Linked DNA regions of Medicago truncatula. The protein of the gene in region 4 binds, or shares a complex with, the protein of the main gene of each other region. Links are inferred from orthologs where the notes say so. Each region holds a gene or a part of one and is shown on either strand. Other genes may lie near its edges. The genes, in order: polycomb group protein EMBRYONIC FLOWER 2, VIN3-like protein 2, VIN3-like protein 1 and histone-lysine N-methyltransferase EZA1.

Region 1 (7,543 bases), on a different chromosome or scaffold from region 4:
ATGAAAATATTGTGATTTTATTTTAAAAATGTGTGTCCATTTTACCTTGATGGGAACTTTTGAAGTGAATTCTTGTGATGGAGAGAAGATGTAATGCTAGTTAAAGATAATGATGCATTTCTAGAAATAATCAAAACATTTTTTTTATATATTTTCATTGTTACCGAAAATGCACATAATTTTTTTTTTTGAGGGAAAAATGCACATAATTATTCACATCAAAATATATTATATGTGTGTTTTGTGTGGATTGAATCCACGAGTTTTCCCACAAACTTAGCTTTTGTGGCCAACTGAACCACATTACTTATAATTAAGGAGAAAAACAAGGACATATTCAAATCATGATTTTAATTTTTTTTTTTCTTTCTATAAGTCGTGATTTTAGGAGTCTTGGTGCAAGGTAATTAAGTTGTTGCCACGTGAGTACTTGAAACAACATCTTGTGTAAAAAGTGAACTTTAGTACACTAGAGTGTCTTTTATGTGTAACTTTCTTCTAATTATTTTAACTTTTGTTGCCTTTGTGTTTTCTCGTATTATTGAGTGTGTCGTCCTTGAGTATGTTGTAATTTCTTGAATCAAGATACTTAAGCAAAACTTGATTGGGTTCTTCAAAATTGTGTTTGATCAAATATATAATGCTAAAACCATGTGGATTGTTTGAATCTCTACACATGAGACTAACATAATCACAGCACTCATTGTGATTCTAGCAAAAACTATACTTCTATACATCGTATCTTTAACAAACTCATGGTGCAATCGTGATGTTGTTAAATTCACCACTCATCCAAACACATATATGGATGACTTGATGTATGTCATGTATATATATCAGAATATGACTTCCAATAATGTATTCTCTACTTCTCATGAAATTAATGATTCTGGCTGAAACCAAATGTGCTCGAATCTCTGTTTCATTTTCCATTTTTTTTTTGTTGAAAAAATAATTCAAAAAAATAAGAGATGCAAACAAATAATCTAGAGAATTCCTTCATGTTTTATTGGATACTATACTACATGAATTCAGACATTAAGTAGAATAGCTCTTGGATAAGATTGTTAATAGAACAACATCTGCATTAAGTAATTTTTGACCTGTGCTTCAGTGACATGCATGTGTGATTCACAACTTTCTTAATAGCATTTTTGACAGTATGTGGGATAAGATTAAGGTAAAGGAGTTAAGAAAGGATATTTGGATGCAATTGGGTTTGGGTGATAAGTTGGAAAGCTGTTAGTAAAATCACGTTCATAGATAGTTCCTTATTCTAAATTTTAAAGATGTCTACCATTGCAACTTACAAGCAAGAGTGATGGTGAATATAACACTTGTGTACTTCAGATAAATAAATAAAAATATCAAAAAGAAATTCCAAACTCAGATCAAGACTACCAAAATAACCTGATGCAAATAACAATCTGGCACCTTATAAATTATATGTTTCTCTTTCGTTGATAAGAAAAGCAAAAGAGAGTACAAGATTTGTCGAAGACTAAGTAAGTCATCATTCAACAAAATAAGCAAAGCTAAACAATAATAATAATTAGACTAACTAAGGAAAAACGCATCATGTGTTTCCAACTCCAAGTTTGATACTTATGTTTGGCTGGCTATAACCAACCACAACTATAGTGGAGTACTTGGCAATGAGACGAGACTGTTAGTGTGAAGCCATACCTTAATATCACCCACAACAATGTTGTCAATCTTTGTTAGTCGTTTGATCTTGACATTGTAACTAAAATGCATGGTTTCCCTACTTGTTACAGATGTATTTCTTCTTTTCAATAGAGATACTCGAAGGATAATTTGATGGTTGATCCAGAAACAAAACACCACACACAGAATATGAATCTCATGGCCGCAAGCAGTCGGAAAATCAAAAGGTCCCATCTCATGATAAAGAGACCATTTTCCTAACTCAAAATCCAAAACATAGATTTGAAATGTTCTACAAAATGCATCATTATTCACAATGCAAGAAAGGTGATTTCCCATCCCTAAAAATATGGCTTAATTGCACTTTTGGCCCCCTATCTTTCCAAAAGTTGTGATTTTGGTCCCCTAACTAGTTAAAATACAAAACAACCTCATATGTATTGGATCTTTGTCAGTTTTGGCCCCCAAGGCCACTTTTGACTTAGTCTTCGCTGACGTGGCACCCACAATGGTCGACATGTGACACCTCACTTAAGGGATGTGTGTGCCACGTCAGCGAAGACTAAGTCAAAAGTGGCCTTGGGGGCCAAAACTGTCAAAGATCCAATACATAGGGGGCTGTTTTGTATTTTAATTAGTTAGGGGTCCAAAATCGCAACTTTTGAAAAGATAGGGGGCCAAAAATGCAATTAAACTTAAAAATATTGCATCTGAATTAAGACCCATCAACACAGGGGGAAGTGGAAGTAAATACTGTCCTACAATATTTTCCTTCTCAACATCCATCATTGTTATTCCCTCTATAGTTATCCAGTAAAGATAATTGTCTCCATTATACTCCATTCCTTTTCTTTTGATGTTTTAGTTCTTGACACAAGTTTTAAGGAGTAATTAAAGTATATAAATATTTGTGTATTTTTTACTTAAATGTCCTTATTTATCATTAAATTCACATGTGATAAACCAAAGGTCACAACTACTTTAATAGTTTATTGTGTTTTCCAACAAGGGTAAACTTAAGAAAACAATAACAAATTCACTAAAACATCAAAAGTTTTGGAATATAGTTAAAGTTCTAAAACATCAAAAGAAAAGGAATGGAGCGAGTAATTTATAAAGTAGTTTCCAACAAAAAAACCATTCACGAGGAGCTTCTTTTCAAGCTATCTCTTTCCATGAGCTATCTACTCCAATTCTAAGCACATAGAATACATACCAATAAGCACCCGAAACCACTAGGATATCTACAAAAAAACAGCTTGAATTCAATAGAGTGAGGAACACGTGCTATAGTTACTTGACACTTAAGTTCCGATCGTTTCAGTGAAATCGGTAAAGAAGGAATTTTGAGCCAACACTTGAGGATGGGGTTCACGATGAAAATCTAGGACCATGACAAAGTAGCAATATTCCATCACAAGTATCGACAATGTTTCCCATTTTTTGAGGTGTTCCCATGTTAGACCTTTCAAATTCAAATAGACTATTCACATCATCTTTAATATCCAAGAAATAATAATTATTTTGATGCTTGCAATTTTCAACATATAGACCAGGTTTTGAATGTGCACGATGTAGGCACGCTTCGGCAAACAGGGAGCTGCGAATAGTAGTAGCCCAAGATTTGCAAACATACCTTGCAGAGTTAAGCAGACATTTAACAGGGAGAAAACTAAGGATATCAAACACCAAGTCTTCAGGGATTAACAACTTTGAAATCACTTTACAACTCTTACCACTATAGGAATTTTGCTTCATATTCTTAATGGAATGATCCTCATGTGACTTAGAGTTTGACTCAGAGAAACTGTACTTCTTTATGGATTTATATCTTCCCATTATCAATTAATCAAATTAAACTTGTCCTGCTTCAATCACTGCATAACATATCGGCCCAAACAAACATCACATTAGTTAAATCATCAATAATATGAAAAGTATACTATGTATAGAATCTGAAACTACAATGCTCTAACGATAATCACTTATACTTTTTCAGAGGGATTGGAATTTTAAAGAATAATAATATACACTTGCATAGTTTGGATTTTCTATATGCTGCAAGAGTTTTAGAATCTTGCTCAACCAAAAGATGAATTCATATGAAACATGCCACATTTTTCGAAAGTGTAAGACAAAAACTAAAATAGAAACTTACATAATAAAATCATTAACTCTCTTGTACGATGAAAATAACTCAATGGGATCTATGCAAAACATTTGAGTGAATGTGTTGCTCAAGTATATGCAAGCACATGCATGATGCATATTTTAAACTGATATATTTTTAATTAATTATAGCAGAGTTTTATATATTGTAAATTAATCTTTTACTATATGTTACTACTATTTAGCAGTGTATAGTTAAACAATGAGAAGAGAAGAGATTAAACATAATGCATGGATATAACTTGGACAAAAACTGACATGAACATAAACCAACTATTAGGGACAACAAAAAAGAAAGTTTTTAGTTTTTGCAACTAAAATCAAAATTCTTTATATTTTTTAAAATCACAAACTTATTTAACCCTCCTTCAAAAAAGAAAATAACACTTACTTAACCCCTAAAATATTTCAAAATTTAAATTGAAACTTGTTATTTAACAGAGTATAAATTTGCAATTCGCATACAACAACTAGAAGAAGAAGAAGCCAGCATCGATAAAATAAAAAAACCGTTTAGTGAAAAAAATCGAGAGTTAAAGGAAAGGAAAACTTAACATACCTATAAATAGGTATGTTTTTTGCGGGTGGGCTTGGGCTCAAAGCCCATGAGCTTTTTTCCCCTTCTTATACAGGTGCGTTAGAAGTAAATTAGAGGGGTGCAAATAACAATCCTCATCTTTTCCTCTTATATTAAGATGGGCCCATTATTATCGGGCCCAATACAGTGTGTAATGAACTACGTTGACGGTGCCATGCTCTTCCCTTCTCCGCCAGATCGACCAAGAACTTCTTCGCATTTTCTCTCTTCTCTGTAAGTCTTCCTCTCTCATGAATTTCTTTGTTTTCAGCTGCAATATTCGTTTAACCTAATTGTGTTTCAGCTCATTACTTCAATTGCGTGTAACAATGTATGTTTAATTGAAGTTGATTTTGTGTTTGTTTGTAGGTTGAAGAATTCAACATGTGCCGGCAAAATTCACCGGTGCATAATTCCGGTGAAGAAGAAATTACAGCTGATGAAAGTCTTTTGATTTATTGCAAACCTGTTGAATTCTACAATATTCTCTATCGTCGTTCTCTTCACAATGTATAATATTACTATTACTTCCTAATCAGTATATGATTGTTTCAACTTTTAATTAAGCTCCATAATATTCATTTATTGTTTTTTTGCTATTTTTTCTGTGTTTTGGTTGTTTAAATATTGGTAATTTATAATTTTATGATTAAGGGATTAGAAATTGTGCTATGATTTGAACTTAATGCCGAGATGAGATGTTGACTGATTTTTTTGATATTTAAACTTTTTTTTTTTTTTTTTTTTTTTTTATATCGTTGGGGCGTGTCCCCATGCAGAAAACGTAAGATTAATATCTGCCTGCCCGGGGGGCCAAGTAAAGTCTGGCCAACACATTTTTGAACTCTGCGGGAATCGAACCTGGGAGTACTAGGTCGTTTCCCCGAGTCTAGGGCAGGTTACTCCACTGAGCCGAGCGGTGTTGGTTGATATTAAACATGTGAAGTGGTTTTTATGCGATTCTACATTTGAAAGTTGCTCTTAAAAATTGAAATTAGCATACATGTCAAAATTTTATGTTTTTTTTAATATAAAAGATATGTTGATTGATACCATTTGGAATTCATTTCTCTTGCAGCCTACTTTTCTTAAGAGATGTTTGCGCTATAAAATAAAAGCAAAGCAAAAAAGGAGGTAAATATTCCTTTGAATTGTTATATACATGTATTATAGTTATTTCATCTAGTTTTTAGTTTCATCATTCAATTTGTTGAAGTACACTACTCTTTATACCATTTCCTTACTCTTAAATTGTTGATTCAACATGATTTTTAAGAGTTATACTAATAGAAATTAATTATTTGGGGATACATGAATAGTAATCATCTATCTACTTTTTTTGGTAATAGGAGAATCGATACAGAAAAAAAGGAATTTGATTTGTGAGGATTGAGAATCCGACAGTAAGAGAAATAAATGCTACAAACGAAAACTATTTAAATACCGACAAAACTTAATTACAGTTCCTTATGTTCTCGCCAATAAACTAAGTATACGTGTCATGTATTATCTTTTAAAAAAAAAAAAAAACCCCCGCAAGTTGTATTTGCAGAATCATCACTGCTTCGTTTCCTTGTACCATTGTATGAAAATTTTAATTTAGACTTGGCTGACTTGCAATGAATACCAACCCTTGATGGAAAAGAAAAAGTAAATGTGATGCTGCAGAACTAGGAAGTGTGTGAAAACTCTCTCTGTTCCCCACCATTTCTTTGACTATAGACCAGCAAACGTACGATAGAGGACGACTTGCTGAAGTGAAGACTTCGATCTGAGTGGCAGTCTGGGAAGTTGATTTGGGGGGGGGGGGGGGGAGGGGGAGGGGGAGGGTGGTGGTAATTTGGGACTCTGCGAGAAAATGACACCGTTTCTGTTTTTCGATTCCGGCACGAAATGTGAAATTTCGATTCACCATTCACGGGAGGTGTAGGTTCCCCTTGTTAGAGGGAAATCACAGTACACGTGTCCGTAATTTATTGGCGAACAACAGTAATAGGACCTTAGGCGCCGTACTTAAGATTTGTTCATTAAATAGTTCACAATTTATTAGTTGAAAAGAGAAACTAGCCTCTTTGCATATCGAATAAAGATTTACCCATTTTCAGATATCTATCTTATGTAATATGCAATGCTTCATTAGGGGTTGTAACTGGTAAGGTGAAGTTTTGAGTCTAGATGCCGAAAAGAAGTAAATGTCTCATTGAAGAAAGATGTTAACAGTAGGACAAGAAGTAAACAGTAAATTATTTGGCTATTTTATTTTAATTACGAAACTCTAGACTAAAAGTTGCATTTTGTCCCTAGTCTCAAATACTGTCCAAGTAATTCTTTAGCATACCATGATGTCTATTCTTCATCAGCTGATGATTTTTGCATTCTTGCCTGAATAACAATTAAGAAAGAAATTGTTTTGCTATGCTTTATCCTTGCGTTTCTTGTTGATTGTATTTATTGTTTGCCTTATTGGGTGGCAATTGTTTGATGGCTTTCTGTTTTGAAGGTTGCGAGCAGGAATTGTGGTTTTCAACTATAGGGACTGTTACAATGCGCTTCGAAAGACTGAAGGTACAGCATATTATCATATTGTCACCAGCTATGTTCAACATTACATCTTACCACTACCTTCCTATAATAAGTACAATTTTTAAGAGCAATCAAACTAGTAAACAATTTGGTAATGTTTTTATTTTCGATTCCGACTTCCTTCCATAGATGCTTATGGCTGATAGTTTTCAAGTGCAGAACTTCATCTGCCTTTAATTTGGACAGATATGATTTTGTAAACGTTACTCTTTTGAGCTGGCATTTTTTAATGCTTTTTTTTTGGGTGGTCTGTCATGTTATTCTCTTTTTTTGTGATGGTTTCTTATTAAAAAAAAAAAAAAAACAATTTTGACCGTACTGATACATTTCTGTTTCTTTCCAAATGTAGTGACTGAAGACTTTTCTTGTCCATTTTGCTTGATGCAGTGTGCGAGCTTTAAGGTATATGCTGTGATTTGAACTTCAGTAATTGCTTTTTTCATTCATAATTTGATAATTTGGGAGGTTGTTGTCTTGTCTCTTTTTTCTTTGTTAGAAGCTAAGAGAAAACTTCAAAAACTGTTTTTCATGGAAATCTATTGAATT
Region 2 (7,429 bases), on a different chromosome or scaffold from region 4:
TCTTGCAAGCAACATATAAATAGATATAATCATCTTGAATCCTAATAATATCAATAATTTGCATTTACACAAAGTTTCCATTGTAGAAAACACTATAAGACCAAGACAAGACAGAAATATAGGGAAAAAGAATAAAAAGAAGAATATAAAATTTACCCGAGTAAATCATTTACTTTCCCACAAGAGACACAGTAGAAGCCTCCATCATGTTTGGGGCGTTTGCCATCTTTGCCAATTCCAGAACCATCATGTTTTAAAGCACACTCAAGGTGGCATGACAAGCCGCAAGAAACACCAGGAAATGGAGCTTCAGAGCTGCATATTAACCACAGGCTAGGGTCTTTGTTGTCGTCATATTGATGACAAATACAACATGAACACCTTTTGCAAAATGCATCTCCTTGATTTAGCGTAGCCTTGCATGCTGAGTTTTTGCAGTATGAGGTATTATGATTCACATCGCCACTGTTATTGACAAAAACATTGTTTTCAGGAACAGCTAACCGAGATGGATTCTCAATTTTTCTCTGCCTTTTAGCAGGTTTCTGACCATTTTCAGGAAAAGAATGTGGTTCAGGGTCGGTGGCAATATCATGGCCACTTGATTTCTTTTCGGAAACAATTTTCAGAAGATTTTCGATAATTTTCACCTTTGTCAGCCCAGTATACTTCCTTTCTTTTCCCATCTCAGCACACAATATTTGTAAAATCTCTTGACGGCTCCATGACTGTAGTATCTCAGATGCACCATCATGAGACGATTTAGATATTTCATATACAAGCTCTCTTTTTTCCTCCATACTCAATTTACTAAATTTAGAAGGATCAAGAGCAACTGCTAAGATCAAGGAAAAAGAAAACAAATATTAGCATATTATTATATAGATGAGAGCATTCCAATTTTAAAACTTCCAAGTGCTGAAGGAAACAAGACTATTTCAACAAAGACTTCTGCTACAATTTGTACTCATGCTAGACATGTCATCATCAAGAAATTATACGCAGAAATAATGGATTTTATAGAAGAAACTATAATGCATTTTTTAATGAACTAACATATTGATTGCATATAATATAACCAAGAAAACAAGAACAAGAAACATAACATATAAAACTGTAACTGGTTGAACTTGCATCACAAGGACATCCCAACCACTTGATGCAGAATGGAATCTAGGAATATTGGATAGCTCAGTGTAAACGCAATGGACTAATCAAGTCAGCCAATTAGGTAATTGGACTTAACTTCCTTTGACTTTTATAAGCACCTTCATGGACCTGCTTATTTAGTTGTTGGCACATCGCATATCAAATGATAAGCCTACTTCAATCAAGACTCCTTTTTTAATCAAAATGCATTAATAAAATATTGAACTGCCCGGCCCCTAAATGCAGTTCACACCAAAAGCTCGGGAATAAAAGGCTATATATAGCATAGATTTTAAGCCAAAAAAGGCAGAATCAGCAAAAGATAAATAAAATAAATTACAATTAAATCAAATAAAATAGTGAAACACCTCTCTCATTAAAGTTCATTCTTTTTTCTGAAGGAAAAAAAATCAAAGCTAATCAGAACCCAACATTCAGGAAGGACACGCATGGAAAACAAGGTTTTACACCGTTGTCGTGTTGTGATCCTTGTATTGCAGAAAATTGCGGTTAGATACAACTGATGCACCCAGAATTAATGCAATTGTGGACGCATAGACATAAAAAACCTTGACGTGTCATGCCTCGAAAAACCATGAGAAAGATGACATGGCAAATAAATCAATCCACAATTAAATCACGCGAGATATTAAAGCATAACACAGATAACGAATCCAACCCTTGTCGTGTAGCAGCCACATTTAACGCAATTTTGGACACGTAGATATAAAAAAAACCTTGACATGTCAAGCCTCAGAAAAACTCGAGAAGATGCCACAACAAATAAATTAAACAACAAAGAAAATCGGTTTCTTGTCATAAAAAATAAATTGGTAAAAAAGCATAATGTTAAATCACACGAAATAGTAAAGCATAACACGGATAACAAATCCAATCCTTGTCGTGTTGAGATCATTTTTATTGCGGAAAAGAGCAGTTAAATACATCAACCTCAAGTAACGCAATTGCGGACATGTAACGGAAAATTGCAGTTAAATACAAGTCATGCAAAATTACCGCAATATCATCGGAAGCGTTGACATGCAAAATCTTGATGATGAAGAGACCACAAAAAGTAAATCAATCCACATAGAAATCAGATATGTCACAAATCACAATGCTAAATCATGATATCATATGGACCACGAAACTACAGAAAAATGAGGTACATGACCGATGGCAATGCTAAAACATGATATGATAGAGATTAATCATCGTTAAATCACATGAGATTATAAAGCACAACAGAGATTATAACGAATCTAATCAATCATTGAGATAATTGAATCACCTCAGTTTGAATATAACGAAGAAAGTGAGATATAAGAATACATGAAAAATTGAAGAAAATTAGAGAGATAAAATAAGCAAGTGATGGAAGCGTGTGTGTTACCTTGGGAAGACGAATCGGTAGCCATAACTAAGAACGAGAATGAATGAATCACATCACATTATCAACAAAATTCATCGAACCTAAACAAAAGTTAAATAAATAAATCCAATCCACGTCATGAATCGCCGTATAAGGAAAGAAAATTAAGAGTGATTGATAGAGAAAGATTGAAATGACAATTACCTAAAAAAAAGATGCTTTCAATTGTTGAAGAAGAAGAAGAAGAAGAAAACGGAATCACTCAGTAACTGAAAAAAATGGTGACGCGCGCACACTCTCTCTCTCTCTCTCTCCTCTGTATGTGATAGAGGGAGATTCGAGGAGAAAGTTGTTGATGTACTTACTTTGCTTCTAGTCTAGAAAGAGAAAGCGTTTTAGATAGGTGGAAGGAGAGAGAGAGAGAGCGCTTTAATATCTCTCACAAATTTTTCGGCTCAATTTTTGTGACGCTTTCAACATCTACAATGTATCTAAAACTAAACGATGATATGAACATTTCTTCATTGAATAAATCATGATGCGGCAAAATAGATAGCAAATAAAAGGTTGAAATAGCTTAAATAAGATGTAAAAAAAATTATTTTGAAGGAAATGTGTTTGAGTTGCATAGATATTAATATTATATGACAATTTAGGAACCACTTGAGGAGGAAGGCTAATAATACTCTCTTTTGAGGCTCACTATTTTATTGAGTAAAATCAATATGTCCAATTACTTTATGTCGGTTCCATTTCCAATGTATATGCCCCACGTTAGTTTAAACCAATAAAATATAGCTATCATTTCACTTAAGATTGGTTATGGAATCAAATTTAGATTTTTCGCAAACTTGTGATAAGTGATTCTTTAGATAAATTGACAAATACAACTAAATTTACGACACAAGTGCAATGTGTTATGTTTAAACATGAGTAAACGTGTTTCAATTTAACAATATTGGTGTGCGTTTGATTTGTTAAAAAATGAAGGACAAGACATAATAACTTCAGCTGTTTAGTGTTTGATTTGCAAAACTGTTTCAGAGACAGGATAAACTGGAGGCAAGGAACATGACAAAAACTGAAATTTTTGTCCCTCACCAAACCACAGCACAACTTTTTTGTCCCACGTACAAGTTGTCTAAAACATCAAAATAGTATTTCGTCCCTCAAAAATCATACAAAACAAAAAATTATTCAATACCATAAAAATTTGTTCTGTGTTGTTATGCCTTATGTTGTGATGTTCTGTTTTGTACTGATATGTTCTATCCAGTACTTACTCTTTTGCAAACCAAACACACACCTTACAACTTAGGAGGACAAATTAATCTTTCACTTAATTTTGACTCTTTACTATAGATGAATTAACTTTTCTCTGTCTAAAAATATCAAAAATCAATTTTAGAAAAAAAAATAAACTTCTAGTCACTTGTCTTAATTTTAAACAACGATCTTGTCTTTTATATTTATTTATTGCATTTTTTTTATTTTAGTCTTTTGTATATGAATTTTCAACAAAGAGAACCACTGATTTAAACACCGAAAGCTCGTATCAAAATCAAATATTAAATCTTAAAATTCATATACAAAATTAATTCCCTCAAAAAATTCATATACAAAATTAGTTAAAAGGACAAAGATAATGTGAAAAAATGTGAAGAAGGAAATCTTTACGTAAACGTTTAGATCTAAAATAATGGCGTTATTGCCGATTTATTGTTGCGATGCTCACTGACTTTCAATTCAACATTTTTTATAGTCGAATATTTCGGTAAGAAATTAGGATAGTATAATATATTAAATTACTAAAATAGCCCTTTATTCTTTTCATTATCTACTGGCACATACACCATATCATATCAGGTCCATTCAATAACCTGTATCATAAATCCATACATCACAAAAATCTGAGTTAGTGTGGCTGTGTGTGTGTGGTAATGTCTTTTGCATGATAAGATTTCATTCAGGTGAATGAAGTCTTTTTCTCGTAATTAATATATATATATATATTATTTTTTAAAATAAGCTAAAATGGAATTTGTTAATATAGCAATTAATCTTAACCGGCACAAGGAATGTTAGGCTAGGAGTCTTACAGTAACAATAAACAAAGGATGATGGAAACCCCCAATGGAAAATCCATACACCCGTGAAAATAAATAAAAATCCAAAAACCTATAGGAAACACCTCCTAACAAAGGGCTATCTCCGAAATCAATAAATAGAAACACCAAAACAAAGCTAACATCACGATCAACAAAACAACATAAACAAAATCCTCAAGCATCGTCACAACTGCCACAAAAACAACTTCTACCACACCCACATTCCGCTGCTCGCACACAACCCCTGAACATCAACTTAAAAACCTACACCACAACCAACAACCTTTGAAAACAGCCGGGAAAAAAAACCCCAAACACCACCATGAGCTCTCCTAAGCACCTTCATCCAAAACACACCTCGTAAACAACCGCAAAAGCTAACCAAAAATCCTTGTACCATCACCAAAAACCACCACAAACATAACCACAAAAATCAACACCATTACCACCACCTTCACCAAAACTACCATTGACCACCACAAAAATCACCATTAACCCTCACCTAAAAGCAACACCAGCCACCACGCGCAGCACACCTAAAACCACCACAAGCATCACCACCAAAAACCACCACGAGCCCCCGCCACAAAAGACCCAAAATCAACACCACCAAGAAAACCATCATGAAGTACCACAAACCAATACAACCAAAGATCCATCGAAACCATATAAGTTCATAAGCGAATCTAGATATGATTCATCACCACCATCGTGACCGATCTGTCACCACCTATGTTGCGAGCAAACATAACCTCCACCACAACCAAGAGAGAAAACAAATCAAATAGTTTGAGACCCACGAAAACCAAACAACCACAGACAAGCATCCAACGACACACCACAAAACCCACCAACGTCTCAGCCAAACGAAACAAATAAAAAACATCAAAAATACAAACCAACCTTTACGACGATAGAGAGCAACCGCACGTCGGAAAGGTACGGTGGTGCGGAGGACAGTGACCCTCGTCGCACCACCATCCATTTGATCTACATGATGACGGGGGCGGATTTAAAATTTGTGTGAGGAAGAAAGGAGTACGGCGGTTTTACGTTTAGAAAAAATGGAATACAACGGCTATCTCTTATGTGTGTTTTGTAAAAAAGTACGACGGCTATTACTATAACTCCATTCATTTCTTTTCTTTTTTTATAAATCTCTTATCTTCTAAAATTTTGTTCGTATTCACACTTTTATCAAAATTTTGCAATAGAATATATATTTTTTTAACAAATTTTGCAATGTATATTATTACAAAAAAAAAAAAAAAACTTAATTTCATTTGTCCATTTATGATCGATTGGTGGCTAACGATTGGATAATAGAGTCTGTTAAAACTTTGTTGATATGGCCCTATGGCAGGGACACACGCATGTAAGATTGGAATCGACTGTGGGGACAACATGGTCAATTTAGATAGCTGCCCCACTAACTAATATTGCATGTAAGACATTGAGTTTTTTTTTATATCTTATAGTTTTGACAAAAACAATAAATTATGGTCTTTGCATATACGAATCGATGCTTTCCCATCTCATGCCACTCACTGCGTCAAAAAAATCTCATGCCACTCATTTCCTACACATTTGTTGGCTTAGCTTGTATTGCACACACGACATAGTATAATAATAAGATTTGTTGACTTAGCTTCTTAAAAAAAAAAAAAAATTATTAATAATTTACGCTTGCTTTCTTCAACTCTTAAAAAAGGTTAAGATATATATATAATCCAATAAAAAAATGTAAATATTTGATTATCTAACATATTTTATGCTATGCAGTTTTCTCCAACAACGATGATATTAATCTCTCTGTGTTTATTGTTAGGTCATGAGAGGAGGTTGGAACTTGAGAGACCATCCATATTAGACCCAGAACAATCATACAAATGAGTTGGACACCAAATATTTAACTAAAATCTTAGGGCAATAAGTTTATGAGTCACCACGTTAATAAATAAAGTGTTCAACTTTCATTTTTATAAGCAATATGCAGAACTTCCAACTCACGTTCTTTACACAACAATCTTCCCTCAAGTGTGAGTCCATCAATTCATTAAATGTTGTGTAGCGAGTGTAAGCCAGAAGTTACACATTGCTTAGAAAAGTGGAGGTTAAACATTTTATAAGTAGAAAGATCGGTAAATCCAATGTCTCAGGGTTTTGGAGTTAAAGTATAATGTACACCTTATTTGTTACTCTTAACTAAATGCGAATATTCTCATACTCATATCGTGTCTCAATATTATGCCTCAAACAAAAGCTTTTTAACCCACACATACTTGCATTTATACTTGTACCACTTGTTATTGCACCAACGTGACACGTCAACTGAACACCTTCCTAGGAAGACTTTCTACACCAAGAGGCGATCAAACCTTTGTTGAACCTGATACTATTGCTGGATCACGAGGAGAAGCGAGTTATGCACGTTAATTAGACCTATATAACAATCATTAAAGCGAGTTTGACATCACATCTTTACGTAACATCTTAAGGCATTAGGTTTATGAGTCGTCTCATTTATAAAATGTTTAACCTTCCCTTTTCTAAATATTGTGAGACTTCTAACTCACAATTACTGCATAATATTACATGAGTGTAGACAAATCATTTTCCTCTCTATATTTTTCGTATAATCATGTAGGTTGTGCAACGTCTTTTGTGTTTTGAAGTATAAAACAAAAAATATAGGTGTATTAGATCATTTGATCCCTTAAATAATTTAATGTTTTCATTTTGATCTCACAATTAATAAAACAGGCGTTTTAGTTCCTCAATTTTTTCTCCGTTTGCCAAA
Region 3 (8,006 bases), on a different chromosome or scaffold from region 4:
TTTCATTACCAGAAATAAATTTCAGTTTTGATAACTAACAAGACAACATGGACAACAGAATCATGGTTGAAGAAGTCGTTTAAACAAGGATTAAATTCAACAATCACTCCAATCTCTTTGTATTAATAACAATATCAAATTCTAAACCACACAATTGGGGAAGTTTATATCATATATGTTACATAATTATATTCTATGCATAACAGAAATATACATTAATTAATGCATTAATATTTCATAATTGCGTATGAAAAAAACAGAACATCACATATAGATCAAAATTTATTTTGCTGCGTTTTAAGGGACAAAATAAATAGATGTTTATATTGTGAATATGTACAAGAAAGACCCAAAAAACATATCCTATTAAAATAGTAACACAGATTGGTTTTGTAGACAATCATCATAGCCTCACCTAATGTATTACTGAAAATTTGGATAAATTTTATGCCACATAATTCATCGTTATTTTTTTCCTTAATAATATGCCACACTGTTCACAAAGTACAACACTTCCGCATAACAAAAGAAAAACAGTATACTTTAACTTAGCATGATTTCTTTGTGGACTTTCATTCCTCTAAAGTCCAAAATTATTGATTTTAGTCACCATAAAATGAGCAACTTTTGGCTTTGATTCCTGTAAAATATTTTTATTGGTTTTTCATCACTTTAAAATAACAAATCGCTATTTTTGGTCTCTAACATTCACTTTAGGTTGAGCCAAAAAAAATCTCCGGGCTCAAGATAAAATCTTAGGGAGTCATATATGCTAACAAGGCACCACCGACACGATTAGGTGCCACCTGGAGAGGCCACTTGATCTTGTGTTGGACACATAAGTAGTTAAATGACGCCGCAAGACGATAGAGACAAAAAATAGTGATTTAAGATTTTAAAAACATATTTAACCCAAATATGAATAACAACGACTTTCCAAGGTGATGCCACAATAAGAGTAGAATAGAACAATACTAGTTTGTAACTATATCGGTTCAGCATTTAATAAAACCATATATTAAAATCGATAATTGACTCTAAGATAGCGAAAAACCAGATTTGATCCCAAACCAAATATACTTACAAGGCATATCAACGTATAACTCCATTTTAGGATCATAATTATAATACGTTGCATAATATGAGACAAACAAAATTCACATTTTGAATAACAAAAAGGAAACAAATATCATCAAACACTCAAGTAAAAGTTAAAAGGAAACAAACCACAAGACTAAAAAGTGAAATAATGATATAAAGGGTAAAAAAGCCTTGCAAAAGAAGCAATATATAACAATTCATTGGATTGAAACTATACATAAAATTAGTTTTAATAAGCAAAAGAAAGTAAAACACATTAAATAACAGCTTCCGCAAACAAATCACACGTTAAGTATCTTTTCCGAATCCTCTCCAAAAAAATAAAATGTATCTTTTCCGAAGTCAAATTTCAGACAGCGTTTTAAATCATGTTCATTTTTTTTTAAGTAGATTAACATGACACGATTAACATGGCACAAATGAAAAAAACAAAAATAAGAACAAAGGAGTGTGTTGGTGATATGCATAAACATCATTTGTGAAAGAAAGTCTGAAAAAAAGATAAAATTGTGTGAAGTCTGAAAGAAAATTGAAAAAACAGCATTAACCAAAACAGCAGCATAACCACTAGATGGCTTTGTTCAGTTCAAGAACAATCTATTATCAAACACTTCAAAAATTTATCATGGATTGTTCAGTTCTGTTTGCATTTCAATATTAATCACGGGAGGAAGCAACCACGATTCTTACACACCAATCTCACAATGTAACTCATCAATAAAGTACAATAAGAGAGAAAGACAGATATGCATAATCACAATGCAAACTAGCAACTATAGCGTTAATTGATTGATGAATAATCCCTTAATTAAGCCCTTACGGCAGATTTTCATATATTTAGAGACTAAAATGACAGATTTGATATACTTAAGGGCAACCATCAGGACTCTTAAAAGAGTAATCAACCGATCAAATACCCTTAAAAGTGTTATTCTCTTGGGGCCAGTCTCGAACCGAGTACCACAAGGTTGTAAAACAAACTTACAACCAAGTGACCTCACCCGAATCCGACAACAAACGGGCTCTAAATTGAGGATTTATTATCAATTGATTGATTGATGGATATATATTAATTAATATTAAATTAAAAATAATCAATTAAAAACAAAATATAAATCAGTCTCCAACACAATTGTATTATTTTGCACATTTGATTTAAACACACAATGTCTGATGAAAAATAGACTCAAATAGTCAATTACAGTTATGAAAAATAAAACAAACCTATTATTATCATTATAACAATAACTATTTACTCAAAACAGATGAAGAAAAAAAAACGTATAATAATAACACCACAATTTAGAGCCATGAATGAAAAACTGAACATAAAAACAAAACAAGAATAAAAGATCACACATCACAACTTAACCACTCATTCAATAAGCATTGCACATATCAACAAAAATAGGTCAAAAAAACATCAATTTTAATATTTAAAAAAAATCAAAATAAAGGGAAATTATTAAACAAATAAAAAGCACAAATTTTTACAAAAATCAGAACATGGGCAAGAGGAAAATCAGAACAAATCTATAAAGGGTAGACAAAAAAAGAAAAAAAAACATAAAACCTTAAAAACGTGAAAATTAAGGATAAAGGGATACGAATGAAAGAGTTACCTAAAGGAGAATGAGGATTTTAAGGTTATGAATCTGAAATCTTAAACAACACAAACACACAAGACAAATTTGGTGGTTTATGTTGTTGTTAGATTATGTTGTTGTTTCTGTGATTTTGAGAGAGAAAGAGAAAAAGGGTTGTGTTTATTGGTAGTGTTTATAGGTGAATGAAGTGACACGCGCTTAAGATGGCGCGTGAGGGAGTTGTGGTAGTTTTTTTCTTCTTCCTAGGCTCTTGTTGTTTGGCTGCATGGTATTGGTTAGTCAGCTGTGTGAAGTTTTCAGCTTATGTTACTTCTTTTCATGTTTTTCAGGTTTTTGTTGATGTTACTTTTGTGGACATTATTGCCCCTATTCTTTGAAAATTATTTAAGTTGTTTTAAGGTTTAGTTATGTTTTTAGAATAGGTTTTAAATTAGATGTAGCATATGTTTTGTTTGGTTTGGATTTTTGAGGTTTTAAACACGAGTTTAGTTGTGTTATTGTTGTGATTTCTTGGTAGCTATAAAACGAAGGTTTTATGTGGACGATGAAGTCTTTTATAAACAGAAGTATATAGTTCTCTTTGTTTTTATGTTGTTTATGTGAGAAGGTGATTTGATTGATGCTAGTTTCTGACCAAAAAAACAAAAGAAAAAAAATATGAGTATGTGTGATATAGGTTAATCTAGACATAGCGCATCTTTAAACTCACGTTTGTTAGACCATCCACAATGGTGGGTGCTTCATCTATTTAGCATCATATTAAATAGGCACCCCCATTGTGGAGTATAATATATGGGTGGCTATGGAGAACGGTGGCTATGGAAGCACCCTCTCTTTCTTCATTTTTCATGGGTCACATTTAATAAATCTTAATAAAATAAATAATTTTTGTTGAAATGTAATGATATAAAATTATTTGTAGGACTTATTTAATAATTTCTTTTGAGGTGTTGGGTTGGAGAAAATTGGTGTTTATTAAGTATTACCGTAAAATAAGTGATGTGGACATATGAAATTAATTTAACCACTCAGTTTAAGGTGATATATTGTGGATGGTCTTAGTAACTATAAAATGAAGGTTTTATGGAGACGGTGAAGTCTCTTTGAAATAGAAGTTTATATTACTTTTTGTTTTTATGTTGTTCATGTGAGGCGGTGATTTGATTGAATGGCAGTTTTGACCCAAAATAAGTAAAAAAAAATAAATGAGTATGTTTGGTCCAACTTAAATTGGATGTAGCATATGTTTGATTTGGTGTTTAAGTCTCGAAACTCACGTTCAGTTGTGCTGTTGTCGTGATTTCATAGTAGTTACAAATAAGCTTCTACGTAGACGGTGAAGTCTCTTTGAAATAGAAGTTTGTAGTTCTCATTGTCTTAATGTTGCTTATGTGAGACGGAGATTTTTTTTGCGGTGGTCGGAGTTTGAACCTTTGCATATATTATATGTTGTCCATATGAACTGAATTAAGCTCACGAGGACTGAGACGGGGATTTGATGTAACACCCTAAACCCCACTTATTATTTTCTAATAAAAATACAGTAATTAATTAAACATGCAAAGGTGTTTATGAAAAAATCATTGATAGAGATTAGGGTTGACCCTTGGTCCAATCCTTGTTATAAAAAAAAATCATTCAATCCTTTGATCCTATGAAAAAAAAATCATTCAATCCTTGTTATGAACAAAATCATTCAATCCTATTAAAAAAATCATTCAATCCTTCTAATAAAAATACAATAATTAATTAAACATGTAAAAAGATAAAGGATTAGGGTTGATTTTGATCCAATCCTTGTTATGAAAAAATCATTGATAGGGATTAGGGTTGACCCTTGGTCCAATCCTTGTTATGAAAAAAATCATTGATAATGCTTCCAGAAGACAAATATTAAACCCCCAAAGTAATTTAGACTCAACAATAGTTTTGCCTCCAAAAAGTTGTCTAAGAGACTTAATAACTTTTATAAATAAAATACGTGATCATTTTCTAAAAAAATAGAGAAACAACAAAAAAATTGAAAGGAAATGTGCAACAACTTTTTTTGCTCCAAAAAGTTGTCTAAGATACTTAAGAACTTTTATTTTTTTGAAGACATAAAAATGGAATATATTAACACTGGCGGTGAGTGCTCCTCAGTACAAGGTGTACCGAACAGACTACCCCAAATAACAATATGTCATACAAGTTATATACAAGAAAAACAGGTTAGTCGATACTCAAACAAGTCAAGGGGTCCGACCACCATCTTTGCACACCATAAACAAACTTGGCATTATTAGCCTTTACCCACCATAATGAATGGAATTTTACTTTATCTAGAAGCTGTAATATAGGAGTTTCAACGTTTTTAAATACTTTGTTGTTGCGTTCACTCCATATTAGCCAAACACCAAGAAGCTACAATAATTGAAGAAAAGCACAGCGGGCCTTAGATGATCCTGTATAATGAATAAATTGGAGAAAATGGTCAGTGATGGTAAGCGGTTCTACTCCCGCCACTCCAACCAGGCCCTAATTTGCTGCCACAACGACCGAACACTTCACAATGAATAAACAAGTGAGCTGATGTCTCCTCAAGCCCACACCCTGTAGCACACGAAGTCCCCGCCTCTTGCACTATGCCGCGCCTAAGGAGATTGTTCCTGGTTGGGAGCATGTCCTTTAGCAAACGTCAAGCAACAATGGACACCTTTAGGGGAACCTGCTTATGCCAAATGAGGTCTCTCCACACGTCAACAGTGGAAGATACCGAAGTTGTCAGAATCTGATAAGCACCTTTGACAATATATCCTTCATGAATGTTTGGATCCCACTGCCACCTGTCAAGAATATTAGCCTGCACAAATACACCATCAAGTAGTACCCTAAACTCCTCTAACATTTCTTCCTCACACGTCCACAATCTCCTCCTCCAACTCCATGCCTCTCCCCCTTCCCCCCATCCGCGATCACAAATATTCGCCACAGTAACAAATTTATTAGTCGCTAAATCAAACAATCGACTAAACCTTCTACACAAGGGGACATCTCCTAACCAGTTATCAAACCAAAAGAACGTATTGTTTCCATCACCTAACACCCTAGATACCCTTTCGCCAAACCAACCACCATTTGTGCCCTCAATCCCATCCCTAATCTTCACTACCTCCCTCCACCAAGAAGAAGCACTCCGGCCCCCAACCTCCAACCTCCCAGCCACCTCACTATATCTCGCCACCAACACCCTATACCAAAACCCACCTCTATCCACCAACAACTGCCAACACCATTTATCCAACAAGGCTAAATTAAACTCTCTAAACTGCCTCACCCCCAGCCCTTCATACTCCTTACCTAAACAAATAGAGCTCCAAGCAATCCAGGAAATTTTCCTGTTATCCTCACTCCCTCTTTAAAAAAAATTCTTAAATAAAGTTTCAATGGAAGAGATTATATCTGTCGGAGCTTTGAAGAAAGAAAGAGTGTAGACAGGAAGCGAGGTCAGGACAGACTTAAGAAGAATCAAGCGGCCCCCAAAAGATAGAAAGCGACTCTGCCACTTTGACAGTCTAGATTTAATAGTAGACATCATAGGTTCCCAAAAGGCTAACCTTCGAGGATCACCATCAATTGAGAGACCAAGATACAAAAATGGAATATTACCCACCTTACAATTTAAAATAGATGCTGTTTCAGTCAACCACGAGTTCCCAATATTAATTCCTACCAGTAGACTCTTATGAAAATTCACTTTTACACCGGACATATCTGCAAATAAGTTCAACACCGCCCTTAACACTCGAACATTGGCCCAACTCTTAGTACCCATAAGTAGGGTTGGGAATAGGTCAGGCCGGCCTACAGGGGCCTACGGCCTGGCCTGTTTTGGCCTGGCATGGCCTGGACTGTTTAGTAGATAGGCCTAGGCTTAGACTTTTTAGAAAGCCTGTTTAGTTAAATAGGCCAAGCTTAGGCTTCAAAAAAAGACTGTTAAGCCTAATAGGCCGGCCTATTAATACTTATTTATTAAAAAATATTTTTTTATATTAAAATAATTGCATATATTAAAAATATAAACATCTTTTTCTCTATCTAGTTGAAATTTACTTGTAGTGAAATAGGCTTTTAAGTAGGCTTTAAGACATGTTTAACCTATTTAGTAGGCCAAATGAACTATTTGATGGCCTTAATATGAAGTAGGTCTGTAAGTAGGCTTTCAGGCCAGTCCAGGCTTTTAAATAGGTCAGGCCAGGCCTAGAAAAACGGCCTATGATAGGCCATAGGCCAGGCTCAGGCTTGTGATTTATTTCGTAGGCCAGGCTCAGGCCTATCAAAGCATGGCCTGGCCTGGCCTATTCCCACCCCTACCCATAAGTAACGTATCATCAGCAAACTACAGATGTGACACCACCACAGAGTTAGATAAATAAGATAAGATATGCGATCATTTTCTAAAAAAATAGAGAAACAAAAAAAAAAAAAAAAAAAGGAACGAAATGTGCAACAATTTTTTTGGCTCCAAAAAGTTGTCTAAGAAACTTAAAGAACTTTTATAAATACGTGATCATTTTTAAAAAATAAAAAATAAAATAAAAATTAGGAGGGAAATTTACAACAACTTTTTTGGCTCCAAAAAGTCGTCTAAGAGACTTATGAACTTTTATAAATAAGAACAAAAAATTAGTAAGGAAATTTGCAAAAACTTTTTTGGCTTCAAAAAGTTGTCTAAGATATTTAAGAACTTTTATAAATAAGATAAGATAACATATGCGACCATTTTCAAAAATATTAAAGAAACAACAAAAAATAAGGAAAGAAATTTGCAACAACTTTTTTTGACTCCAAAAAGTTGTCTAAGATATTTAAGAACCTATGTACATAAGATAAGATAAGAGATCTTTAAAAAAGGCAAAGAATTAGGAAAGAAATTTGCAAAAACTTTTTTGGCTCCAAAAAATTGTCTAGCTCCAAAAAATTGTCTAAGATACTGAAGTTTATAAATAAGATATGCGACCATTTTAAAAATAAAATAAAGAAACAACAAAAAATAAGGAAATAAATTTGCAACAAATTTTTTTACTCCAAAAAGTTATCTAAGATACTTACGAACTTTTATAAGTAAGATATGCCATCATTTTCTAAATAAAAAAACAAAGTTAGGAAGTAAAATTACAATAACTTCTTGACCAAAAAAAAAATTACAATAACTTTTTTGACTCCAAAAAATTGTTTAAAAGCCTTAAGAACCCATGTATATAAGATAAGAGATCTTTAAAAAGAGCAAAAAAATTAGGAAAGAAATTTGCAACAACT
Region 4 (7,625 bases):
AAAAATTCTCGCCCACCTCAAATATAAAAAATACTTGCAATCTCAAACAAAGAAGAATACCTGAAGGTAGCACTGATCACCACATGGTTTTCTATCACCTACAGGCTCAGACCAAACTGTCTTTTTTTCACTCTGAAATAAACATCAAATTAAATTTATTGATGAAGTAACATAGATTAATTTTGAAAATAACTTAGGGCATTGTTCCTTACGGGATATATCAAAGGTTGAGAACAGCCATGCAGTCGACAGTCAAAAATCTGCCGCAGGAAAGCAGAAAGGTACGCATTCACTAAGACAATGATGACAATGTTAAAAAAATGATGATTTTGTACATACCAGGCACCGACGACAGAAAAGGTTATCAAGAGAATCTAATGCATCACTCAGGTTTTTCTCTAGATACATGCTCATAGGAAATTCATGTTCTCCTGAGCTTTTAGGATGCTGGTCCAACCTACCAATATTACTTCCTCTGATGCTTTTGTACCTCTCCTGTGTTTTTTATGAAAGCAATTTCTCGAAGAAATGAAAATGGTTTCTGATAAAGAAATTTCCATGGTGCAATATATTGTTTTTTATATTCATTCCCACAAGTTATTTTGGATTACCTGGATTTCTAAACTGGTGCCCCCAACATACTTGCTAACAACATTCAAAACCTCCTCATTTAACCCATGTTCCTCAAATGCCATACTAGAAATTCAATAGTCAAGACATTAATTCTAGAAAGAAGAAATGCTGAACGTTTGAATGAAGTTGGGATTCATGGTTTATAAGTTAAAATCTGGTATTAAAAGTTGTGTGGTCATGACTCGTGATACAAGTCTTATTTCTCAAAGGCGTGGCAAGAAAATCCGTGTTTGCGCCAACAGAGCATCTATATGACTCATTAACTAAACATGTTAATCAATGATTCATATAGCTAACCACAATAATTGAAACCCAGATCGATTGGTCTTGTTTCGTTGAATCTTTCTTCGCAAATGTAGCATTTCTACATCTTCATACTAACTTACCATAAAATACGGTCTTCAGCATCACAAAATTCATGTTTTTCTCCGTCAGGTTCTGTTAATTCTTCCTCACTGTCACTACATATCAATGCCTCACTTCCACGTTGATCATAATAGATCCGTCTTCTTCCAACGACTGATTGATCGTCAGCCATTCTCTGATTCCTGATGCGTGTGAAAGATTTTAAAATAGAAGAAAATATATTATTGAACTTGCATACTCATTGATCAATAAGGTTTAAATCCCATTTTCTCTTATAAAATGGATAAAGCAGTGAGTAACTCAACATAGGAAATTAAATATTTGTAAGTCAAAACACCTGTCCAAAAATATCCAAGATGTATATGGTGGTAATCTTTCCATACGTGGAATCTTGATGCTTGTAGCAGATGACATGTCTTGATTGCCCTGGTTTCTGTCTCCTGGACCCTGGGTAAAACCATAGAATTTACATAAAGGACGGTCCATTCTTGAGGAAAGAATTGAACGTGTCGTATTTTCCTCCGTTTGTGAAGAGTCCCTGGTTGATACTGCTGACATTATTCCTGAAGTATGACATTGCAGCTTCTTCTGGTTCCTCTGAAGTTTTTCCTACAGAAAATAATTACAATTAATCACAAGTCATCCAGCATGGTGTGTAAAAAGAAGCTATCTCAACCTTGAATTTTCAATTGACACTTAAGTTTACTTTAACAGTCATAACATAAAGTTCAACCGATAAACACGGCTAAATAAAAAACATTGCCGAAAGTGACACCCATATAACCAAAACAGATCAGAACAACTAGCAGTTCAGCTCAATGTAGAAGCAAACAGAAATCGAAAGATTTTGTGTGGCACCCTTATAGCATGCTCTAGATTTTGTGTGGCACCCTTCAGCTTTAAAAAAGAAAAGACTGTTATAAAAAATCTAGAGATTTAAAAAAAAAAAACTGAAGTTATTTCTGTTTGTTTACTACCCATAAAATTCACTTTTTTTTTAAAAAAAAAAAAAAAAAAGATTATTTTTAGCTTGTTCATGTTTGAAAAAAAAATAGATTTTAGGGAAAGTTAACCCTAACAGCTTTTCATCTTAGAGTTAAAAATGAATTTTTTAAAATTATAAACAAAGTAACAAACACTATTAAAATAACAAAAGCGACTTTTATAAAAAATAAAAAATAAAAAAAAACCAAAACAAACACACCCTAACTCTAGCTATTAAATTCCAGTTATCCACATATATGGCTGAACTGGTGTTTCTACAAAATGAAGTTTGCAAGGAATAATAATTAAATGTTTGGAATCAGGACGAGTTTGACAAAAAAATTGTGACATCTTGATTTTGTTGAAGCTCTAAAGTGTAACTTTGGTCATAATCACGATGTCACACTTTGATTTGGCCAAACACACTATCAATCCAAACATACACTAAATGTCAGTATGCTAACGCCAGTTTCCACAATTAGCCATGATAAAACAAAAACATCCTGCCAGCAAACAAACAAACAAACAAACTACAGAAAGCTGAACCCATTCCAAGAACGAAATCACAAACTTACCTTAATGGATTGAATTCTCTCGGCCTGGATTTGCTTTTTCAACTGATTTATCTTGTTGGACAAGGTTCCCACATCATCATTTGGCGGCTCTTCAACTAATTCCTGTCAATATTACAGTTACCGCCATAAAAATAATAATAATAAAATAAAATAAACAATCACATAGACACCGAATTTTCCTTGCTCACACGACAATCACAAATAAAATTGCGGTTAGGTGAAATTGTGGTTAAAATGAAACTTGGTGTTTATGATAGGGAATAGTGAAAGTTGAATTGAATAAATAGAGAGAAATGAAAGAGACTCGATGGAGATTGTGAGGAGAATCGGAAACCATGGATGCTCGTTGTTGTGATCTTGTATGCTGAGTTGAGCGAGTTGATCAACGATTGAGAGAGAGTAACTGTGGACGCACGGTTTTAGAAATGAAATTGGGTGGACGCATCTTCCACTTTGGATTATGTACCTTTTTTGAGTGGGGTCATCTCTTTACAGTATTATTCCTTCTTTCTTGGCTATCCCTCATTCCTTTGCTTCCCTCATTTTTCCAAATGCTGTAGTACTACTACTACTGAAGGGACTTGTCTCGTGCCAACTGCCAATCATAGTTGCCCTGCTTTTTTATTTATTAAACTTTAAATAAATTAACTGCAAACTATGCTATTTTTTTTTAAATGTTTTCTAAATTTTGATCTCGTTTGTAAGCGTGTTTGATGATATTATTTCCACTCTTTTTCTATGGAATGATAGACATCTATGAAAATGGAACCATATTTTGACGGGGCAATATGTTAAAGAAGTGGTGGCATTTAGCATGGGAAAAGGAAGTTGTTTTCCACCATAGGAAAGTCATTTTTAACCATTAGATCTACAATCTTGTCATACACTCTCAACACTATATTTTTGTCACTATCTTCCACTACCATCTCTTTCATTCATCCTCCACAAACCCATAACCAGCAACTCATCAAAACCACCGTCCCAACTCTTTATTGTTAATTTATTTAATTTCCCTTGTCTCTCCTTCATCCTTATTTTATTTTCTTTGATGCAATGTATTAATCCAAATCTAAAACATTTCTCATGGTTTTGATTGTTTATTATTATATATGAAGTGGATATCAGATTTGGAGCAATCTAAGCTTCCCTTCCATTATTAGACCACAAATCTAACCTCTGCATTTGTATTTGTGTTGAGTGCTGAGGCAACTAACCTAACCTGACTGCACGAATACATATTTTTTTCTTCCAAAAGAAATTAATCACAATAGTGTGTGAATTTGTATGCTAACTTGTGTAAATTTTTATATGTTCCTTCTATTATTCAAGACCCAACTGTTCCGTCAGCCAGAGGTTGAGAATATATTTTCCTCAAATCAAACAATTTGTTCCTATATAGTGTCCTGCAAGGATTGATTACTTTGAATTGCAAAAAGTAAGTTCATGGAATATTGATTGTTAAAATTTTGAATCTGATTGGTAAAAACTATAGTTCTCATGGTGTTGCTGGTGGTGGGTTGGTGGGGATGAAGGAGAGAGATGGTAGTGGAAGATAGTGACAAAAATATAGTGTTGAGAGTGTATGATAAGATTGTAGATCTAATGGTTCAAATTGACTTTCCCATGGTGGGAAACAATTCCCCTTTCTCATGCTAAACCCCACCTAAAGAAGTTAGTAACTAGATGCCATTTAATTTGGGAAAGAAGAGTTCTTTTCTACCATGGGAAAGTTGATCATATCCATTAAATTAAATAAGAAACATATTTCTATCATACTCTCTCAACCACTATATTATTTTTTTTATATTATCTTTCACACTCTCTCTTTCATGTCCCCACACACCCATACCACCACCACTAAATCACAAATTCAACAACCACTTTGACCACCACTGCACCACCACACACCACCATGGTTGCTGCCGGAAAACTTGTTAGCGTACGATTTTTAAAATAGGAAGACCAAAACATCATTTTCTTTTTAAATAGAAAGACCAAAAATGCATTTAAACCTTACTTTTTTAACATTTTTTCTTTTCTTTTCTTTTTTATGCTTCCATGAACCCATTTGTTTTTTTATAAAAAAAAAAAACAGAAGAAAAATAATATAATTCAAAATTATATAATACAATCATTTTACCCGGAGAGAAACGGATTAATTGGATAAAAAAAACACGATCACAAACAGGTATAGTTTATGCGATGGCGGTTGGAATTCGAACAACAAGATAATTATGCATCCCTCTAAAATAAACTATGAACAAAATAATATTGCATCCCTCTAAAAAAATATAATATTGCATCGTTAGGTTAATTTAGATTCTTTATAGGAAAATTTGCAGGTACCCTTGAGTTTTGATTAAAATGATGGTGCCATTTAATTTGGGAAAGGAGAGTTCTTTCCGGCAGCAACCATGGTGGTGTGTGGTGGTGCAGTGGTGGTGTGTGGTGGTGCAATGGTGGTCAAAGTGGTTGTTGAATTTGTGATTTAGTGGTGGTGGTATGGGTGTGTGGGAACATGAAAGAGAGAGTGTGAAAGATAGTATAAAAAAATAATCTAGTGGTTGAGAGAGTATGATAGGAATATGTTCCTTATTTAATTTAATGGATATGATCAACTTTCCCATGGTGAAAAAGAACTTTCCTTTCCCAAATTAAATGACACCAATAATTAGTATGAGACGTAACTGGATCAATCATCCATATTTTGAGGACCAAAAATGATAGAGGCTCAATTACCCACTCGCAAATGAGTGGAAACTTTATTTCTCAATAGTACAAACTTCTCACAACCAAAACTTTTTAGCAACCAACTTAGCTTGGTACGTTGATAACTTGCCCAATACAATTTCCACCATATTTGTTAAAGTGTCGGTGTTTTTTTTTTGTTTTTCTTTTCCGAAAGGATTAAAGTGTGAGTGTAAAATTTCATACAGGTTCCTTAAATTGGTGGATAATTTTTGTTCCGACATTCAATGTCTCTTAGAAACATAAGTAAATAACTAAAAAATTCAATGGCAGGTAACTGCTGCCGGTTTTATAGTTATAAGTCAACGGCAATTAACTACCGTTAAGATATTTTAGGATTTTACTTGTGTTTAGGAACTATTGAATGTTAAAAAAGCAATTGTCAAAGAGGTGATATAGATTTCTAATTTCTTAAAATTTAGATTAATAAAAGTGTGGTATCAAAGGTTTTTTTGCCTTGAATTATTAGTCTCCCCAACACTCCAGCACCTTTTGAGTACTTTATTAGTCTCCTAAAAAGGTCCACAACTTTAATCGCAAGCATTTTTAAGTCAAATTTATGGTTTAGTAAATTATCCATTCATCCCCACAACTTGTAAGAGTCGAGCATTCACACCTCTAAAATTTGCGAATATGCAAAATTGATCCTCTAACATAGAATTTTGTCAAACAACTTGATCCTTATATTAACTGGCATCTAATATTATGTTAAACTACTCGCTAAATTTACCACTTACTAGAAAATTAGTTCTTGAATCAATATCACTCAGTAGCAACGGAGTCCTTAATTATATCATCTATTGCCATTAAAAAAATTGTCCTTACAAGTTATCCGATGTCATTTAAAATCAAAGTATTTTTCGGTTGTTCGCAAATATTATAGGGGGTGTAAGTTACTACTCCCTCCGGTCTCAAATGTAGGGAAAAAGAAAAAAAAAAGTACACCAATTAAGAAAATGAATTGATTACATTGAAGTCATGTTAAAAAAGTACAACTTTTCAATTTTGCCTTGTCATGTTTTAGTAATAATTAATGAAAGTGACTCTTGAACTCATGGAGATGGGGTAAAATTGGAATAGTAGCATTTATTAGGTTGCTTTTACTATACTTTTTCTTACATTTGAGACCACAATTTTTTTTTATTTTTTTCCCTACATTTGAGACCGGAGGGAGTATCTTGTAGGCTAAGTTACAACCCAAAGCTGCCTTGTCGACTAAATTATAAACTTCCATATCAGCATCCACATCCTTCATCGCCTTATTATTAAGAGAATAAATCTTCATACATGTTCTGGACTTAACTAGCTAATATCTGGCTGATATGGCTGAGTTGAGGGCATAATTGTGTATGGTTGATTGCTCGATCGTCATTTACCTATGTTCTACACATTATTCCTATCTTTAAGAAATGAATGTCTAATTAACCATGCTATGTCATTAAAATCAACCTTGGGGTCAGTTTATCTTTTCTCTTTGCATAACCATTACTTTATCATGCCACATATATAGGAAAATTGTAATATGACCTTTTGACTTAGTCAAGTCAATGTTGGAGTCTTTTAGACTAATTAAACATTATCCAATTCCTATTTAAATTTGATAGTCATCTCTTCTATCAATCGGCAGCTTATTCGGCTATCATTCGATTTTGCATAAGTTGTTAGTGAATTTTACATTAACTAATTCTAATGTGAGTCGATTGTGATGCGAAAAATACACCAACTTCATCCTATTAGCGAATCCACCACCTATATAATTCCTTAACAAATTCAAATATGAAACTAACAAATGAAATATACGATTTTTTTTGTCAAAAATATGAAACATACTATTTGTAACAAAAAAAAAAAAAAAAAAAAAAAAAAAAACACACACACACCGCATAGTCATCTAGAACAATTGGAATTCCAATGTCTTATCCGTAACATTCCATCAAACATTTTCATTCAACGCCATAATTAGCCACGTTGGACAGAACTTCTTAAGAACACCTATATATGGTAAAATATTCCATATACTACACCATTGTTTGTTTCGACTCTCCCATTTGTTTCAACAACGACAAACAAATTATGGAATTACGGCTACATTTTAAGAAAAACATCGAAACATATATCATCCCATGATTCCTCCAATGTTAAGATTCCATACCGTAAACATGCTGAACCATTCTTTTTCTCTCACACCTTTCAATATCAATATATTCCAAGACGGTTATACAAGAGAATTTTACTATATAATCTTCCACGTAGAACACAGTTTCTTTGCAATAACAACAATGGAGCAAGAAAATCAAGCTATAATATCAATTCCAACTC

Evidence for each region.
Region 1: histone-lysine N-methyltransferase EZA1 (region 4) and polycomb group protein EMBRYONIC FLOWER 2 share a complex: the UniProt entries of both Arabidopsis thaliana proteins name them as parts of the plant homeodomain / polycomb repressive complex. The link is inferred for Medicago truncatula from reciprocal best matches to the Arabidopsis thaliana genes SWN and VRN2.
Region 2: histone-lysine N-methyltransferase EZA1 (region 4) and VIN3-like protein 2 share a complex: the UniProt entries of both Arabidopsis thaliana proteins name them as parts of the plant homeodomain / polycomb repressive complex. The link is inferred for Medicago truncatula from reciprocal best matches to the Arabidopsis thaliana genes SWN and VEL1.
Region 3: histone-lysine N-methyltransferase EZA1 (region 4) and VIN3-like protein 1 share a complex: the UniProt entries of both Arabidopsis thaliana proteins name them as parts of the plant homeodomain / polycomb repressive complex. The link is inferred for Medicago truncatula from reciprocal best matches to the Arabidopsis thaliana genes SWN and VRN5.

The regions. Positions count from the first base shown.
Region 1 is NC_053046.1:4,146,268-4,153,810, reverse strand, and holds the start of polycomb group protein EMBRYONIC FLOWER 2, read left to right. Parts: upstream 1-4,537; 5' UTR 4,538-4,648; intron 4,649-4,783; 5' UTR 4,784-4,798; coding exon 4,799-4,924; intron 4,925-5,492; coding exon 5,493-5,548; intron 5,549-6,914; coding exon 6,915-6,979; intron 6,980-7,346; coding exon 7,347-7,399; intron 7,400-7,543. UniProt on the Arabidopsis thaliana protein: Polycomb group (PcG) protein. Plays a central role in vernalization by maintaining repressed the homeotic gene FLC, a floral repressor, after a cold treatment.
Region 2 is NC_053045.1:61,341,062-61,348,490, forward strand, and holds the start of VIN3-like protein 2, read right to left. Parts: upstream 3,018-7,429; 5' UTR 2,732-3,017; exon of another isoform or gene 2,726-2,731; intron 2,628-2,725; 5' UTR 2,568-2,627; coding exon 2,543-2,567; intron 2,537-2,542; exon of another isoform or gene 2,441-2,536; intron 2,368-2,440; exon of another isoform or gene 1,275-2,367; coding exon of another isoform or gene 1,247-1,274; intron 839-1,246; coding exon 157-838; intron 1-156. UniProt on the Arabidopsis thaliana protein: Maybe involved in both the vernalization and photoperiod pathways by regulating gene expression. Binds preferentially to dimethylated histone H3 'Lys-9' (H3K9me2).
Region 3 is NC_053047.1:39,580,214-39,588,219, forward strand, and holds the start of VIN3-like protein 1, read right to left. Parts: upstream 3,014-8,006; 5' UTR 2,724-3,013; intron 1-2,723. UniProt on the Arabidopsis thaliana protein: Involved in both the vernalization and photoperiod pathways by regulating expression of the related floral repressors FLOWERING LOCUS C (FLC) and FLOWERING LOCUS M (FLM).
Region 4 is NC_053042.1:42,724,501-42,732,125, reverse strand, and holds the start of histone-lysine N-methyltransferase EZA1, read right to left. Parts: upstream 3,019-7,625; 5' UTR 2,896-3,018; coding exon 2,863-2,895; intron 2,661-2,862; coding exon 2,559-2,660; intron 1,609-2,558; coding exon 1,337-1,608; intron 1,182-1,336; coding exon 1,020-1,181; intron 697-1,019; coding exon 612-696; intron 496-611; coding exon 340-495; intron 261-339; coding exon 213-260; intron 133-212; coding exon 61-132; intron 1-60. Other genes in the region: GRAS family protein RAM1, read left to right, coding at 7,586-7,625. UniProt on the Arabidopsis thaliana protein: Polycomb group (PcG) protein. Catalytic subunit of some PcG multiprotein complex, which methylates 'Lys-27' of histone H3, leading to transcriptional repression of the affected target genes, mainly abscisic acid (ABA) responsive elements.